Xenopus tropicalis: one gene and its partners. The protein of the gene in region 2 purifies or fractionates together with the protein of the main gene of each other region. This does not show direct contact. Links are inferred from orthologs where the notes say so. Each region holds a gene or a part of one and is shown on either strand. Other genes may lie near its edges.

Region 1 (6,071 bases), on a different chromosome or scaffold from region 2:
CACCAAATAGCTCAACAACAATGTAGTATTTCATGATCACATGCAAGCAGAGCTGCCTCGTGACTAAAATATTCGCGAGAGGAAATACACATGGATTTCTGCCTGCCCCTGCACATTGGATCCAAGTAGTGATCTGTGCAAACATACCTTCTATATAAACGTTTTGTTAAAAAAAAAATCAACACATTAGACACAGCAGGTCCATCAACAACGTAATAAGTTGACAAAATCATAAAAACCACCAATATATCCAAACCCTCAGCTACACAAAATACTAGGGGGTCAAGTTAACTTTGACCCTGCAGTCAAAATCATCCTTACAAAAGAATGTACGAGTCCAATGGTTACCATTTCCAGAATAAAGGTTGAACTTTATGGAGTTATTCCTTTTACCAATCTGCTGAAACCAATGATACCCTATATTAGTCATGGAAATGAAGACACTTATAACCAATCACCCAGTTAATGCATCCACTTAGGATAACCAACATTGTCTGGGGCCACTGTATAGTCACGCCACAGTTGCTCACTCAAGATGGAAACCTAGTTGGATGAGACTCCAAACTGTTAACATGCTTGGGTTGTGTGCAACAGAGAAAAATGTTACACCAAAAAACCATAAAAAGAAAAAAAAAAAAAAAAAGCACAAGGAAAGCTACTAACACTGAGGTAGCCTATATGTTAGGCACCCACCAGGGAGCAAATTAGGATATTTACAAGAGTAAATATATTCAATATGTGCATGTGCATATGTCTAAACCTGAATTGGGATGGTGAACATACCCTTAGAAAACAAGTGTCCCAGACCTAGGACAGTCTGTACATACATGTGCCCCAACATGGCTGCCTGCATGAGGAATAGGCACATGGTGTAGTCCCCAACAGTACTCGGCAGTACTGCTTTTGCAAACCACAGCTGCGGCGGGGAATTCCATTTTTTTAAGTCACAATGACCTTGCAATAAAAAAAAAATATCTTTTTATTTCTAAGATATCAAGAACACAGCATTGTCCTATTACTACAGAGAATAAGGAAATTCGTTTAAAAAATATTTGATTAAAATAGACTTTATGGGAGATGGTCTTCCCTAACTTAGAGCTTTCTGGATAACAGGTATTGGAATAAAAGCGCAAATACCTGCATATAAAGCTTTGACATCCCCATGCTGAAACAAAATCCAGTAATACCTGAAAACTAAACTCATAACTGGGCTTATGACAAATGCCTTACTACTACATTTCTTATTGTGTTACTGGGTGACCACAGACAAAAGTTGTTTCCCCAGTGTCTGTCAGATGAATACCTGCTCCATTAGATTAAGAATACATTAAACTCAGTAGTCCATTCAGGATTTGCCCAGATCCCTGCAAGTCTCAGACAAACCTTCTGAGCCTTGCAGTGCAATTTTGTGCTCCCACATGATGCCATTAGTATAGCTCTGTAGTGGAGTTTCTCATGAAAGGTGAATAATAAAAATTAAAAAATAAATTGTTTAGATTTTTTTTTTTTTTATGACAATAAGGACTGCTACTTCCTTGGTACATGTTTGTGAAGTGCAAAATAAGAAAACAAAGAAAATAGAGAAGCACAGGTTTTTGGCTTAGTTTATAGAATTAAATTGGACATTTATGACCAGATTGGGTGTTTTTTTTTCTGCCTGCACCTAAATGTCACCTAGGATGTTTCTGCAATCCTTTGGATCACTGATGGTCTGACCAAACTAAAAATTTGATCCAAAGCATATCTTTACTTAAAACCTGTAAACCTGACATACCTCAACTCCTTGCTCCCCATTCGTAGGAGCAGATCCTGTAGTGACAGAATTTTACATTACAATGTTTGTAAAGGAGATTTAAAAATGGCAATAACAGTAATGTTTAAAACACCTGTAACCTTCTGTAATCTTAACTTTAATGTAGGCAATTATGTTTCAAATGGGCAGAGAAATTGTGAAATTGCTTATAAAAAGCAGGTGAGGCGTAGGAGAAATAAAAAAAAGAACCAATGGATTCTGGGACATTCCTGCAACAGAGAAATACTGTACTGGTAAGAGTCCAAAGTTCCCTCAGGATTACCAAAAAAAAAAAAAAAAAAAAAACACCACCACACAAACACACTATAGGGACAGCAAATCTGTGTGGTTTGAGTCAGTTTAAAAACAGTTTTGTGGCCTGAAACCTATTTTCTCAGTATGCTTTTAATTGGATTTTGGATTATATGTTAAGAAATTAAAGGAGTTGACACCCCACAACACCTGGATACCTAAGGCTAAAACAGAGAGACCTGGTGGCCAAAAATAAATGTTGTCCTTGAAACCTGCTTAGAGTTCATCCTTTCACTTGTATTATTGATCTGAAATTGTAAGATCTCACCCACCTTATATTTCCTATCACAGTATTCAGGTGGCTATACACAAGAAGATTCACTCATTTGTCCAGGTTGCCAAATGAGCAGCTCTGTGCCCAATATGGGCACCTATGTGCTTGTTTAATGCCAGTTTTCAGAGAGTTCATTTAGTTCCCAAGAAGGCTACCAATATGTGCAGGCGCTGGTGTGGTACTTCGCTTTACAAGCCAATTATATGCTGGGCCATACTGGACTGATCTTCGGGCTAATGATACAGGCGGCCAGGAGAGGACTGCATAAATGAGGCAATGTAACCCATGCCCCAATAGGCATTTACTCCTGCCTGATAGATACCTGGGCAATCTGACAGGAGGACCCATACATGGGCAGATAAAATGTTCTGAAGGGACCAAATCAGCAGTTTAAACCTGCCCATGTATGGCCAACTATACTAATTGCCTTGTCAGGAACAACAGTCTGCCTGTGCACACTTTCATCTTATGTGAATCTAACAATACTTAAATTAAATCCTGAACATTAAACAAGTTTTCTGTACAGCTGCCCAAGCAATCTATGGCTACTGACATGACTGCTCTGAGCACACACACAACCCTGTATTTATATAGCAACAACGAACACCACATCATTTTACATTGATTATATATGATTCACATAAATCCCTGCCCCAGTGTATTTTACAATGTAATGCCCAATCACACCTGAACACCACAAGTCAAATAATATTTACTTATTGCTTTAGAGCTGCAAGAGTGGGAATCATGGGCCAATTAACACTTACTAAAACATTTCATGTAATGTATGTTTGATGTATACACCCTTCTACTGTACAGCATTGTGAAATCTGCTGGTATTGTACAATCACGTGTTATTCAGGCTGTCACTGTTAGTATTAGAAGTAAAACAAAGCACACTGTAAGCAGCTAGCACTGGCTGTCTCAGTGCCATAGACTAAAGGGCCAAGCTGCAGCCCTCCAGTGGTGGATAGGAGTGCAGCTGCCAGTACCAATGTGACAGAGATTAGCCACCCCGATTCACCACAACAGAGGCAACAGCAATCTCCACACTCTCTCCATCCATCAGAGGCCTTTTCCCCGCAAGACACAACTGGAAAGCGGGGCATTGTGGCCTCACATCCCGGAACCACATAACCAGATACGTCCCGTTACCTTTGAATTTCAGCTCGTTGGGCGGGTCAAGAATAAGGATTTGTTCGTGTTTGGACATGGTGACCCCGGGTGTAACTACCGCCATTCACCGCTCGGCTGGCCCACAACACGCAAAATAAGAGGAGGCCGCTTGTGTTACGTGGCCGAATATGAGATGTCAAATGAAGGCCCAGCAGGTAGGCAGCTGGGTGACTTAAAGAGGCAGCGAGCGCTGGAAGACAAGGCTGGAGCGGGGAGAACGGGCCAAAGCTGGCACAGCCTAGCGGTGTGGGCTCCGAGGCTCGGGTTACTATGGTCAGTTCAGTATCGGCTCTTTCCTCCTCCGCCTCCCCCCTTGCGCTCCTTGTCACCGCTGACTCAACACACAGTACAGTGCGGCAACCGCGTAATGCCCCAAGCGCGTCACGGCCGGGAGGAACACGGACTGGGTGACGTCAGCACGCACATGCGCGTAACAAGCGTGTGTCCTGGGTAACGCCCACTCGGGATTCGTCCCGTCACACACTTCCACATTAGTGCTTCAAAAACAGTACGGCGTTTTACAGCTGAGCACCGCGGAAGGGATAGCGGTTATGCTGCAACAAATGTGAAGGAAATGTTAGGGAATTTGAAACCAATACAAGTTAATGCTTATTTAGAATGAACGAGGTGTTTGTCAATTGCTTCCCTTTATGCCAGTTTTATAAACGCAGCCTATAGGCGTCGCGCTGTAGTATTCCCACAGGAACGACGTGAGACCACTCTGTAAAGCAACTTGCTCTTGCATGTTTATTGAACTATTCCACTGCATAGGTTCCATTATATTGCATATGGCAATAGACTGAATTTTTCAGTTTGGGAAAAATTGTTAAAGTTCCAGTAAAAATATAGAAAAAAAAGATGTATGTATTCATATTATGTGCATAAATTCTGGTAAAAAATGCTTTTGATTTGTTGTGGCAAAAATAGGCCCTGCCCACAATTACAAGCCGCAAGCACTTTTTAAGGGATCGCCCAAATCCACTATTTTAGGATCCGTCCAAACCCTGAACAATTTTGTGAAAGATTCGTCCAAGTACCGAACTGAATCTGAATCCTAATTTTAGGACGAGGAGGGGATAAAGTGCAGAGTAAAAAAAACTTCAACTTCCATGTTTATGTGACAAAATGTCACGTGATTTTAAGGAATCGGATTCGCTTCGGTCAGAGGCATAAATCTGCCCAAATCCAAATCCTGCTGAAAAAGGCCAAATCTTGGCAAAATACTGGATTTGGTACATCCCTACAACTTTTACATCGCCCGTCAACATGTTATGGTTTTGTCCACTTTAGAGTAAAACCATGTTGCTATTTCCATTTTACTATTTTCATCTTTGGAACAGCTTGATGCCCAGTATTCTTACATTTACCAAAGTATGTGGCATGTTGTGACCCTAATGCACCCAGCCTGCATTAGGCAGGGGGTACAACCTAATAGAAATCATAGAGTTCTATTTAACTTTTTATAACAATTCACTATGATTAATAATATAACACACTAGCTACTAACAGCTAAGAGTAAAGGGTTTATATATAACAATGGATGATTATGGAGTGACAGGTGGCATTTGGGGAAGACATGATTTTATTAACTTCTCATTTTTAACAGCTCATTAGGTCACAGTGTAAGTTTCAGTACAGCCACTTGGGGATTGGACAGGCTGAAGGGAGGTATAAAGCCTATCCAATACCTATGTGGCTGCACAGGGATTTACACTTTGATAATAAAAGATGAACCATTAAGTTGCAGGAAGTTAGAAAATGCCAAAGCTGCAGGTTTTGTATTTTAAAGCATGCATAAGCGGAAGAGCAAAGGACAGCTCCAGTGTAAAACAGTACAGTAGAATAATAAATGAATAAATTAATTAAGAAGGGGTCATTGCAATAATAAATACACATAGATACAAAGTACAGTTACATTAAATATTGTCAGAGACAAGAGGAAGGAGATCCCTGCCCTACAGAACTTACAATATAAGTGGTTTGACAGTGGTTCAGTGTTCTTCTTGCACACTGATAGCATGCATGACATTTTATGTCCAGCACTAAAGAATAATCAGTATCTGAAAATGCCTTTGTATTAAAGTTAGTCTGAATCTTTGCTGGAAAAACATTTACATCACATAATCATGTGAGAATGCAGAAGGCAATTGCATGCATTTACAAGACTGATATGTATTACTGGCAGAGATTTGGATAGACTTCAAAATATGGTATTTTTGGAGGTTTTGTTGCTCTAACTGAAGAAGATTAAAGGTTACCATACAAGCACCAACATTATCATGCAAAACAAGGTTTTGTACAATATTTGCTGCGTGTATAGTGGATTGATGAGTTAACCAATATCGCAAAAGCCTTGTATATTGGTCTTGTCGATCAGGCAGGACAGAAAATTTTGATCAGGCACCATTGAAGGCACCCAAGCAAAGGCAAGAGTTTGGGGCTGAATCGTCAGATAGGGGTAGAACGTGTATGGCCACCTTTAGGGTGAGAAACAAATCAGCCTATATATTGCTTTTA
Region 2 (5,857 bases):
ACTCACCTTTTGTGGTTGATGAGGTACATACACAGGGGGTAGGCAGGGAGTTCGGCCAGGCCGGACAGCGCCAGATTCAGGTAGATGTCCCCTCCCAGGTCCCCAGAGCTGAGTGTGAGCCCATAATACACCAGGCTGCACACAAACCTGCACCATGGGGAATGCAGAGTCAGAGGCTGCAGCAGAGGATTCTGGGATACCTCACCCTGACAAAGGGGATTCTGGGATATCTAACCCTGACAAAGGGGATTCTGGGATATCTAACCCTGACAAAGGGGATTCTGGGATACCTCACCCTGACAAAGGGGATTCTGGGATATCTAACCCTGACAAAGGGGATTCTGGGATACCTCACCCCGACAAAGGGGATTCTGGGATATCTAACCCCGACAAAGAGGATTCTGGGATATCTAACCCCGACAAAGGGGATTCTGGGATATCTAACCCCGACAAAGGGGATTCTGGGATATCTAACCCCGACAAAGGGGATTCTGGGATATCTAACCCTGACAAAGGGGATTCTGGGATATCTAACCCTGACAAAGGGGATTCTGGGATATCTAACCCTGACAAAGGGGATTCTGGGATATCTAACCCTGACAAAGGGGATTCTGGGATATCTAACCCTGACAAAGGGGATTCTGGGATATCTAACCCTGACAAAGGGGATTCTGGGATATCTAACCCTGACAAAGGGGATTCTGGGATATCTAACCCTGACAAAGGGGATTCTGGGATATCTAACCCTGACAAAGGGGATTCTGGGATATCTAACCCTGACAAAGGGGATTCTGGGATATCTAACCCTGACAAAGGGGATTCTGGGATACCGCACCCTGAGCAGAACAAGCTTGCTTAGTGGGAGGAGAGGGGTAAATAGGAGGCAAAGGGTAGTTGCCCATTCGGTACCTACCAGACCCACATCATGATGAGTGTGCGCTGGCGCAGGATGGCGTTGCTGTATATGGTGAGGATGTTGGCGCTGTGGGCGGAGTCTTTCTGCCGCGGGCAGAGAGTGAATGAAGTGACCTTCCTGCGGTTCCTGCGCCCCAGAGAGAGTAAGGATTCCTGTGCCTCGCGGAGGCGCCCCTGAGCGTGCAGCCAGCGGGGGGATTCTGGGATACAGCTGTAACCAACATGAGATTCCCGTTATTTCCCCTCCCACTAAGGGGTGTGGCCCCAACACTGACACTCCCACACCGATACTCACAGGGAAAGCGCCAGCACGGCCGCTCCTTGCACATTCACCAGCAGGGCCAGCAGCCTCCATGAGCGGATAAAGTACCCAATCAGGGCAAACTGGGCAATGCCCACAGCAAAGCAGAGGGAACCCAGCGAGCCTGTGAGCACAAAGAGGGGGGGCAGTGTGACACGGGGGCACAGAAGTGCTGAACTACAAACCCCAGTATCTGAGAAGTGGGGGTTCCAGTATCAGCAGCTCTGGGAAGGGACATGGGGTGTCAGGCAGCAAAGGGTTAAAGGCATTGTTCACCTTTTAGTTAACTTTTAGTTTGATGTAGAGACTTATATTCTGAGACAACTTGCAATTGGTCTTCATTTTTTATTATTTTTAGTTTTTCCACTTTTTGTTCAGCAGCTATCTGGTTGCTAGGGTCCAAATTACCTTAGCTACCAGGTAGAGGTTTACGCGAGAGGCTGGTATATGAAGAGGAGAGGGGCCTGAATAGAAAAAGTTATAAAACGTGACAATAAATCTATAGCATCGCGGAGCAATAGTTTTTAGCTGCCGGGGTCAGTGACCCCCATTGGAAAGCTGCAAAGAATAAGGCAAATAATTCAAAAACTATAAAAAATAAATAATGAGGACCAATTGGAAAGTTGCTTACAATAGGCCATTCTGTAACATAGTAAAGTTAAAAACATAAGAGGTGACCCACCCCTTTATGGGGCTGAATGCATTTTTGGGAGATCTGGTAACATGGATTTAACCACAGGCAACAAATCTTATTGTGTACAATTGCCCCTAGGGGTAATATAAAAACTTTGAGGGGGTGCAGCGAATAACAGGACAGGGTAATGGCCTGGGAGGAGCCATGGGAGGATTTAGAGAAGAAGGTGCAGTACCCGCAGCTGCCCAGTAGGAGGCACCAATACATTCATTGAGCAGGACAAAGGCCACGAGCGACATGCCGCCATTCATGACTCCTACGAGAAACCGCGTCAGCAGGAACAGCGGGAATATGGGGGTCAGTGCGTTCATCACGGCAAATACCACCTCCAGGGCCAAACCTGCGGGAACAAGAGACAAACCGGCCAATAGCCTCTCACTGCCAGCCAAGCCACACCCCCCAGAGTGCCAAGTGCCACCCCAGTCCCTGGCGCCTGCGTCTCCCTATAAAGATGCCCACTTGCCCCTTACCCGTCACATACACCGGCTTCCTACCAAACCGGTCCGACAGTTGCCCAAAGCTGATCACCCCGATGAGAACTCCTCCGAAATACACCGAGCTGGACACACTGACCTCGTACGCGGCCCCTCCCACTAGGAACCACTGGGAGACCCAGTGCAATGGGAAGGCAGGAGAGTGAGAGGCGGGTCCCCCAAACTGCAGGAAACCTTGCTGGGGGGGGGCGGGGGGTTACACCATGTATACTGGGGGGTACCAACAGGCGTACCTACCTCTGACACAATGGAGGTAAAGTTTCCATCAAAGACCACATGTCCATGTTCTCCCTCTGCAGGTAATTGGCTCCCATATTGCTTCCCCCGGCTGCCATTGGCTGTAAGGCTGTCATTCATCCAGTGGTATGGGGGGGTGGCCCCCAGTATGGTTATAATGATGGCTTCTGTGGCAGAGTAAAGCTGGGGGCACATTGGTTTGTATGAATAACGTCAGTTCCCAGGGTATCAGCTCCTTCTGCCCCCCCCCCCCATCAGCTCCTTCTGCCCCCCCCCCCATCAGCTCCTTCTGCCCCCCCCCATCAGCTCCTTCTGCCCCCCCATCAGCTCCTTCTGCCCCCCCCCCATCAGCTCCTTCTGCCCCCCCCCCCATCAGCTCCTTCTGCCCCCCCCCCATCAGCTCCTTCTGCCCCCCCCCCATCAGCTCCTTCTGCCCCCCCCCATCAGCTCCTTCTGCCCCCCCCCATCAGCTCCTTCTGCCCCCCCCATCAGCTCCTTCTGCCCCCCCCATCAGCTCCTTCTGCCCCCCCCCATCAGCTCCTTCTGCCCCCCCCATCAGCTCCTTCTGCCCCCCCCATCAGCTCCTTCTGCCCCCCCCATCAGCTCCTTCTGCCCCACCCCCCCCTGCTCTCAGCTCCTTCTGCCCCATCCCCCCACTATCAGCTCATTCTACCCCATCCCCCCCCCACTATCAGCTCATTCTACCCCATCCCCCCCCCACTATCAGCTCATTCTACCCCATCCCCCCCCCACTATCAGCTCATTCTACCCCATCCCCCCCACTATCAGCTCATTCTACCCCATCCCCCCGCTATCAGCTCATTCTACCCCATCCCCCCCACTATCAGCTCATTCTACCCCATCCCCCCCACTATCAGCTCATTCTACCCCATCCCCCCCGCTATCAGCTCATTCTACCCCATCCCCCCCACTATCAGCTCATTCTACCCCATCCCCCCCCGCTATCAGCTCATTCTACCCCATTCCCCCCTACTAACAGCTCTTTCTGCCCCATTCCCCCCCATCAGCTCCTTCTACCCCATCCCCCCCCCCGCTATGAGCTCATTCTGCCCCACCCCCCCATCAACTCCTTCTGCCCCATCCCCCCCCTGCTGCGAGTTGCTTCTGCCCCACCCCGATATCAGCTCCTTCTGGGACACTATATTCCCACTATATACACTGTGCAGACAAGGGGGGGCGCTGAACTTTTACCTCCCCAGTCAGCTGCCCCTTATAATCAGCCCCCCCCCCTGCCCCACATCATGTGACCCCCCCCCTGCCCCACATCATGTGACCCCCCCCCCACTCACCTGCAGCAGTACAGCCAATAGGAAGGAGAGGTAGATCTGATAGATTCCCATTTCCCCCACCAGCTTCAGTGCCCCCTCCACCTCCATCTGTGGGACCCGCCGGCCTGAGCATGGGGTGTCTGTAAGGGAACCGACCAATCATATTATACTGTGCCCAGAACTTGCCCCGCCTGGGGCATTACTGACCCACCCAGGGGTTACAGAGCCAAATACTGGCACAGTGACCAACTGCAATCTGTACCCCCGGGCCGCTCCCACTGGGGCAGAATCCTAGAAGCAGTGTTTGTCCAAAAAGCTGACACTCTAGCAAGGAGGTGGGGCCACTCATACCTGTGATTGGGAGCTGGCCAATCAGAGAGAGACCCCAGGAGAGAGAGTTAGTGATTGGCCAGTTTGGGGCAGATATGAGGGGCACAAACCCGGGAAACAGCAATGACTCAAACACGGAGACCCGCCCACTTATTGGCTACAGCCCCGCCCCTTGGCCCCACCCCCAATGTACCTACCCCATACTCCTATAACTCATCATAATATCTGCCCCTCCAGCCTGTAGCGCTATAGGAACGTACTTACCCCTCGGCTCGGGGTATGGGGGTAGGTACATTCCCCTCCCCCCCACACCTACTAACCGCTAGTTCCTCCGCGCTGTTCCACTACCTACACCCCCAGCCGGTACTTACCTCCCCCGTATCTTCCTGGCAGGTACAGCCCCGCCCACAGGGGGCGTGTCTTTGTTACTTTCTTTGTATACGTTTTTGATTTGTGCAAACCGAGCTACGGGGCGTGGCCAAGGATGTGGGCGGGAAAAAGAGAGCGTAGGAATTTACATCGATCGCGAAAGAGAGGCTTGAACCGCAAGACTATGGTTTGCCGGCTGAGTCAAGTAAATCTACCCGGTGCCCCACCTCAATTGCTCCCCATGGCTACAGTAACGCCTTCCCTCCTACTATATACTCCCCTCAGTATAGTAACCCTTCCCTCTCATCGTACAAACCCCTTCTCTACTACTTCATATCCCAATGTAGTTATTAACCCGTGAGTGGGCGGGACGCATGGGGCGTGAGTGGGCGGGGTGCATGGGAGGGCGGGCACTTGGTCTTAATTTTTTTATTATGTGTAGTTTTTTAATGATATCACTTTTTGTTCAGCAGCTCTGCAGTTTGGAGTTTCAGCAGCTATCTGGTTGCTGGGGCCAAATTATCTTAGCAACCAGGGAGTAATTTGAATGAGAGACTGAAAAATTGATAGGAGAGGACATTAATAGAAAGATAAGGAATAAAAAGTAACAATAAAACTGGAGCCTCACAGAGCAATAGGGTTTGGCTGCCGGGGTCAGTGACCCCCATGTGGAAGCCCAGTCTGGGGGTTTCCCCCCCAACACAATAAAACTGGAGCCTCAGAGCAATAGGGTTTGGCTGCCGGGGTCACTGACCCCCATGTGGAAGCCCAGTCTGGGGGTTTCCCCCCCAACACAATAAAACTGGAGCCTCAGAGCAATAGGGTTTGGCTGCCGGGGTCACTGACCCCCATGTGGAAGCCCAGTCTGGGGGTTTCCCCCCCAACACAATAAAACTGGAGCCTCAGAGCAATAGGGTTTGGCTGCCGGGGTCACTGACCCCCATGTGGAAGCCCAGTCTGGGGGTTTCCCCCCCAACACAATAAAACTGGAGCCTCAGAGCAATAGGGTTTGGCTGCCGGGGTCAGTGACCCCCATGTGGAAGCCCATTCTGGGGGTTTCCCCCCCAACACAATAAAACTGGAGCCTCACAGAGCAATAGGGTTTGGCTGCCGGGGTCACTGACCCCCATGTGGAAGCCCAGTCTGGAGGTTTACCCCCCAACACAATAAAACTGGAGCCTCACAGAGCAATAGGGTTTGGCTGCCGGGGTCACTGACCCCCATGTGG
Region 3 (6,117 bases), on a different chromosome or scaffold from region 2:
TATCCCTATATCCATCTATCCCTATATCCATCTATCCCTATATCCATCTATCAATCCCTATATCCATCTATCAATCCCTATATCCATCTATCAATCCCTATATCCATCTATCAATCCCTATATCCATCTATCTATATATAAATTAGGGAAGCACTGAACCCACAATTTTAGGATCCGGCCGAACCCTGAATCATTTGCGAAAGATTTGGCCAAATATTGAACGATACCAAAGGGGTTAAAGAGAGCCGTGCATGGAGCAGAACCCTGCGGGAAAGGGCCGGATCTTGGCCGAACCCTGGGCTCAGTGCGTCCCTAATATAAATCTATAGATATAAATATAGTGCGGAGCTGTCCCAGGGCAGATAATCCCGAGGAACAGGGCCGGCCAACATGCCAACTAAATATAGTGCTGGTGTAACCGGGCCCTCCCCTACGGGAGAGATGATTCACTGCCCAACACCCCGGGATCTCTGCTCTGCTGGGGGCAACACCAAGGGAAACCCATACAGGGGGGCTTATTGTGGGTATTAATATGTACCCAGGTGCAATGACCCCGGCGCCGGAGAGCGGGTTATGCACAACATGTGCTGCTGGTTCTGTCGGGTCGGCTGTTTCCCCGTCAGGCCTGTATCCCCGACCCATAATGCACAGGGCAGGGGGTGTTCTATAAATATGGAGGTGCTGGGGGCCGGGCTGGCTGGGAATGAATGGAGCAGGATAATGTGTAGAACAGGTGGGGCATTGTGGGACATCCGACACTGTGTGTGCCCCCCATGTACAGAGATGGGATGGGGCACGGGGGGGGGGGGGCACCAGCTCCGCAGGGAACCCGCAAAAAGCCCCAACCCCAAGCAAAGGCAGCGCGGCGGGATATGTTGGCGCTTTATACATCAATGTTAATAATAATAATAATAATAATAATAATAACAGAGACAGAGCCCTGACCCAACAATCCCGCCTGAAAGCCCCATGTTTCCCAATAAATTAATTAATTAATAAGGAGCCAAAAATGGCAGTGGATGAAAGGTCGGGGAGTGGCCCCCACACCCATGGGTCGGACTCACCCTTCAGCCCCCCCAGGGCTTCCTACAATTGTCCGGCCTCCCTTGGTGGTTTCCTCACCGTTACAAAGTACCGAATACCCCCCCCACCCCACCCCGAGCCCCCAGTGTCACTAACGCACAGAGTGGGCGCAGGGTCCCCTACCCACACACACTGTGCCAACACTGCCCAATCAGCAGTCAGAAGGAATGCAGCCAATGGGAGGGGGGCACAGACAGGACTTTATGTATCACTGCCCCCAGTATATGCGCCCCATTACACCCTATATATACCCCCTGTATATTGGATACAGCATCGGGGCTGTGCACCCTGCACCCTACTGGCACTACGGGGGCATAAATGGATCAGGACTGGGGAGCACAGCAGGGCCCCAGGGAACCCCCATATAATTAGGGGGCACTACTCCTCTTTGTTATCAGGGAGCTCTCTGCCCTTTACCCACATACCAAACTGACAGTTATAATAGGGACCCCCTACCTTCAGCCCTGTATCCCAGCAACCCCTTGCACTCATGGTTACAAGACCTCCCTCAGGCAGGTTCTGAAATGGGATGTACCCCAGCGCCCCCCACTGGCCCTGCACCCCAGCGTCCCCCACTGGCCCTGCCCCCCAGCGCCCCCCACTGGCCCTGCCCCCCAGCGTCCCCCACTGGCCCTGCACCCCAGCGTCCCCCACTGGCCCTGTAATCCAGCGTCCCCCACTGGCCCTGCACCCCAGCGCCCCCCACTGGCCCTGCACCCCAGCGCCCCCCACTGGCCCTGCACCCCCCACTGGCCCTGCCCCCCAGCGGCCCCCACTGGCCCTGCCCCCCAGCGGCCCCCACTGGCCCTGCCCCCCAGCGGCCCCCACTGGCCCTGCCCCCCAGCGGCCCCCACTGGCCCTGCCCCCCAGCGGCCCCCACTGGCCCTGCCCCCCAGCGGCCCCCACTGGCCCTGCCCTCCAGCGGCCCCCACTGGCCCTGCCCCCCAGCGGCCCCCACTGGCCCTGCACCCCAGCGGCCCCCACTGGCCCTGCACCCCAGCGGCCCCCACTGGCCCTGCACCCCAGCATCCCCCATTCCAGGATTACAACTCATGCAGCCCAGCAGTACCCCCAAGCCGTACATTCCAGGATTATATCCCATGTAGCCCAGTAGTACCCCCAACCCATACATTCCAGGATTATAACCCATGTAGCCTAGCAGTACCCCCAACCCATACATTCCAGGATTATAACCCATGTAGCCCAGCAGTACCCCCAACCCATACATTCCAGGATTATAACCCATGTAGCCCAGTAGTACCCCCAACCCCTACATTCCAGGATTATAACCCATGTAGCCCAGTAGTACCCCCAACCCATACATTCCAGGATTATAACCCATGTAGCCTAGCAGTACCCCCAACCCATACATTCCAGGATTATAACCCATGTAGCCCAGTAGTACCCCCAACCCCTACATTCCAGGATTATAACCCATGTAGCCCAGTAGTACCCCCAACCCATACATTCCAGGATTATAACCCATGTAGCCTAGCAGTACCCCCAACCCATACATTCCAGGATTATAACCCATGCAGCCCAGCAGTACCCCCAACCCCTACATTCCAGGATTATAACCCATGTAGCCCAGTAGTACCCCCAACCCATACATTCCAGGATTATAACCCATGTAGCCTAGCAGTACCCCCAACCCATACATTCCAGGATTATAACCCATGTAGCCCAGTAGTACCCCCAACCCCTACATTCCAGGATTATAACCCATGTAGCCCAGTAGTACCCCCAACCCATACATTCCAGGATTATAACCCATGTAGCCCAGCAGTACCCCCAACCCATACATTACAGGATTATAACCCATGTAGCCCAGCAGTACCCCCAACCCCTACATTACAGGATTGTAGCCCAGCAGTACCCCCAACCCATACATTACAGGATTATAACCCATGTAGCCCAGCAGTACCCCCAACCCCTACATTACAGGATTGTAGCCCAGCAGTACCCCCAACCCATACATTACAGGATTATAACCCATGTAGCCCAGCAGTACCCCCAACCCATACATTACAGGATTATAACCCATGTAGCCCAGTAGTACCCCCAACCCCTACATTACAGGATTGTATCCCAGCAGTACCCCCAACCCCTACATTACAGGATTGTAGCCCAGCAGTACCCCCAACCCATACATTACAGGATTATAACCCATGTAGCCCAGCAGTACCCCCAACCCCTACATTAGAGGATTGTATCCCAGCAGTACCCCCAAGCCGTACATTAGAGGATTGTATCCCAGCAGTACCCCCAAGCCGTACATTAGAGGATTGTAGCCCAGCAGTACCCCCAACCCCTACATTACAGGATTGTAGCCCAGCAGTACCCCCAACCCATACATTACAGGATTATAACCCATGTAGCCCAGTAGTACCCCCAACCCCTACATTACAGGATTGTATCCCAGCAGTACCCCCAACCCCTACATTACAGGATTGTAGCCCAGCAGTACCCCCAACCCATACATTACAGGATTATAACCCATGTAGCCCAGCAGTACCCCCAAGCCGTACATTAGAGGATTGTATCCCAGCAGTACCCCCAAGCCGTACATTAGAGGATTGTATCCCAGCAGTACCCCCAAGCCGTACATTGCAGGATTAATGTGAGTGCCCCAGAGCCCCCGGTACCTCGGAACTTGAGCTCATGCTGGGGCTCCAGCTGAAGGATCTGCTCCACCTTGGCCATGTCTCCCGTGTGGGCTGGGGGTCCGGGCCTGTCCCGGCGGCGGTGGCGGCTGCAGGAGCGGGTGATGCAGCAAAGCGGCGGAGGGCGGAGGCTGCTGTGACGTCACGGCCCCTGCAAGGCCCGGGGGTGAGCGGCGCGCAGGCGCAAGGGCTGGGGGCGGGGCCGCGGCTGCGCACTGGGGCTCAAGGGCCAACATGGCGGCGCCTGGGGGGGAGGGGCAAGTTAGCGCTGGCAGCGTATGTGCGGGACCCCGTATCCGCCCTGTGTAATGTCACATAGATATCCGGGAATATAAACCCGCGGGATCTCCCCTTATTGGTACCGGGTTGTCCCGCCCCTCCTGCCGGTACCGCTCTCTCCCGCCGCCGGTACCGCTCTCTCCCGCCGCCGGTACCGCTCTCTCCCGCCGCCCGTACCGCTCTCTCCCGCCGCCGGTACCGCTCTCTCTCCCACCGGTACCGCTCTCTCTCACCGCCGGTACCGCTCTCTCTCCCACCGGTACCGCTCTCTCCCGCCGCCCGTACCGCTCTCTCCCGCCGCCGGTACCGCTCTCTCCCACCGCCGGTACCGCTCTCTCCCGCCGCCGGTACCGCTCTCTCTCCCACCGGTACCGCTCTCTCTCACCGCCGGTACCGCTCTCTCTCCCACCGGTACCGCTCTCTCCCGCCGCCCGTACCGCTCTCTCCCGCCGCCGGTACCGCTCTCTCCCACCGCCGGTACCGCTCTCTCCCGCCGCCGGTACCGCTCTCTCCCGCCGCCGGTACCGCTCTCTCCCGCCGCCGGTACCGCTCTCTCCCACCGCCGGTACCGCTCTCTCCCACCGCCGGTACCGCTCTCTCTCACCGCCGGTACCGCTCTCTCCCACCGCCGGTACCGCTCTCTCCCACCTCCGGTACCGCTCTCTCTCACCGCCCGTACCGCTCTCTCCCACCGCCGGTACCGCTCTCTCCCGCCGCCGGTACCGCTCTCTCTCACCGCCCGTACCGCTCTCTCCCACCGCCGGTACCGCTCTCTCCCACCGCCGGTACCGCTCTCTCTCACCGCCGGTACCGCTCTCTCCCACCGCCGGTACCGCTCTCTCCCACCGCCGGTACCGCTCTCTCTCACCGCCCGTACCGCTCTCTCTCACCGCCCGTACCGCTCTCTCTCACCGCCCGTACCGCTCTCTCTCACCGCCCGTACCGCTCTCTCTCACCGCCCGTACCGCTCTCTCTCACCGCCCGTACCGCTCTCTCTCACCGCCCGTACCGCTCTCTCTCACCACCCGTACCGCTCTCTCACCGCCGCCCGTACCGCTCTCTCACCGCCGCCCGTACCGCTCTCTCTCACGCTCTCTCCCGCCGCCGGTACCGCTCTCTCTCCCACCGCCCGTACCGCTCTCTCCCGCCGCCGGTACCGCTCTCTCCCGCCGCCGGGTACCGCTCTCTCCCACCGCCGGTACCGCTCTCTCCCACCGCCGGGTACCGCTCTCTCTCACCGCCCGTACCGCTCTCTCTCACCGCCCGTACCGCTCTCTCTCACCGCCCGTACCGCTCTCTCTCACCGCCCGTACCGCTCTCTCACCGCCGCCCGTACCGCTCTCTCACCGCCGCCCGTACCGCTCTCTCACCGCCGCCCGTACCGCTCTCTCTCACGCTCTCTCCCGCCGCCGGTACCGCTCTCTCTCCCACCGCCCGTACCGCTCTCTCCCGCCGCCGGTACCGCTCTCTCCCGCCGCCGGGTACCGCTCTCTCCCGCCGCCCGTACCGCTCTCTCTCACCGCCCGTACCGCTCTCTCCCACCGCCCGTACCGCTCTCTCTCACCGCCCGTACCGCTCTCTCCCACCGCCCGTACCGCTCTCTCTCACCGCCCGTACCGCTCTCTCTCACCGCCCGTACCGCTCTCTCTCACCGCCCGTACCGCTCTCTCTCACCGCCGGTACCGCTCTCTCCCACCGCCGGGTACCGCTCTCTCCCACCGCCGGTACCGCTCTCTCTCACCGCCCGTACCGCTCTCTCCCACCGCCGGTACCGCTCTCTCTCACCGCCCGTACCGCTCTCTCTCACCGCCCGTACCGCTCTCTCTCACCGCCCGTACCGCTCTCTCTCACCGCCCGTACCGCTCTCTCTCACCGCCCGTACCGCTCTCTCTCACCGCCCGTACCGCTCTCTCTCACCGCCCGTACCGCTCTCTCACCGCCGCCCGTACCGCTCTCTCACCGCCGCCCGTACCGCTCTCTCTCACGCTCTCTCCCGCCGCGGGTACCGCTCTCTCCCGCCGCCGGTACCGCTCTCTCCCGCCGCCGGTACCGCTCTCTCCCGCCGCCGGGTACCGCTCTCTCCCGCCGCCCG

What was found. The genes of interacting proteins can lie anywhere in the genome.
Region 1: the proteins of slc22a15.1 (region 2) and vapa purify together in Homo sapiens (co-immunoprecipitation; 3 studies listed by BioGRID and IntAct, with this or other methods). This does not show direct contact. The link is inferred for Xenopus tropicalis from reciprocal best matches to the Homo sapiens genes SLC22A15 and VAPA.
Region 3: the proteins of slc22a15.1 (region 2) and vapb purify together in Homo sapiens (co-immunoprecipitation; 3 studies listed by BioGRID and IntAct, with this or other methods). This does not show direct contact. The link is inferred for Xenopus tropicalis from reciprocal best matches to the Homo sapiens genes SLC22A15 and VAPB.

The regions. Positions count from the first base shown.
Region 1 is NC_030682.2:104,672,961-104,679,031, reverse strand, and holds the start of vapa (vesicle-associated membrane protein-associated protein A), read right to left. Parts: upstream 3,886-6,071; 5' UTR 3,592-3,885; coding exon 3,534-3,591; intron 1-3,533. UniProt on the Homo sapiens protein: Endoplasmic reticulum (ER)-anchored protein that mediates the formation of contact sites between the ER and endosomes via interaction with FFAT motif-containing proteins such as STARD3 or WDR44.
Region 2 is NC_030678.2:1,131,437-1,137,293, forward strand, and holds the start of slc22a15.1 (solute carrier family 22 member 15 precursor), read right to left. Parts: upstream 4,116-5,857; 5' UTR 4,071-4,115; coding exon of another isoform or gene 4,003-4,070; coding exon 3,952-4,002; intron 2,825-3,951; coding exon 2,642-2,824; intron 2,514-2,641; coding exon 2,381-2,513; intron 2,251-2,380; coding exon 2,086-2,250; intron 1,341-2,085; coding exon 1,211-1,340; intron 1,127-1,210; coding exon 914-1,126; intron 148-913; coding exon 7-147; intron 1-6. UniProt on the Homo sapiens protein: Organic zwitterion/cation transporter with apparent specificity for amino acids and their derivatives. Has low affinity for its substrates and may regulate their flux across the plasma membrane at high substrate concentrations.
Region 3 is NC_030686.2:2,709,486-2,715,602, reverse strand, and holds the start of vapb (vesicle-associated membrane protein-associated protein B/C), read right to left. Parts: upstream 3,886-6,117; 5' UTR 3,787-3,885; coding exon 3,729-3,786; intron 1-3,728. UniProt on the Homo sapiens protein: Endoplasmic reticulum (ER)-anchored protein that mediates the formation of contact sites between the ER and endosomes via interaction with FFAT motif-containing proteins such as STARD3 or WDR44.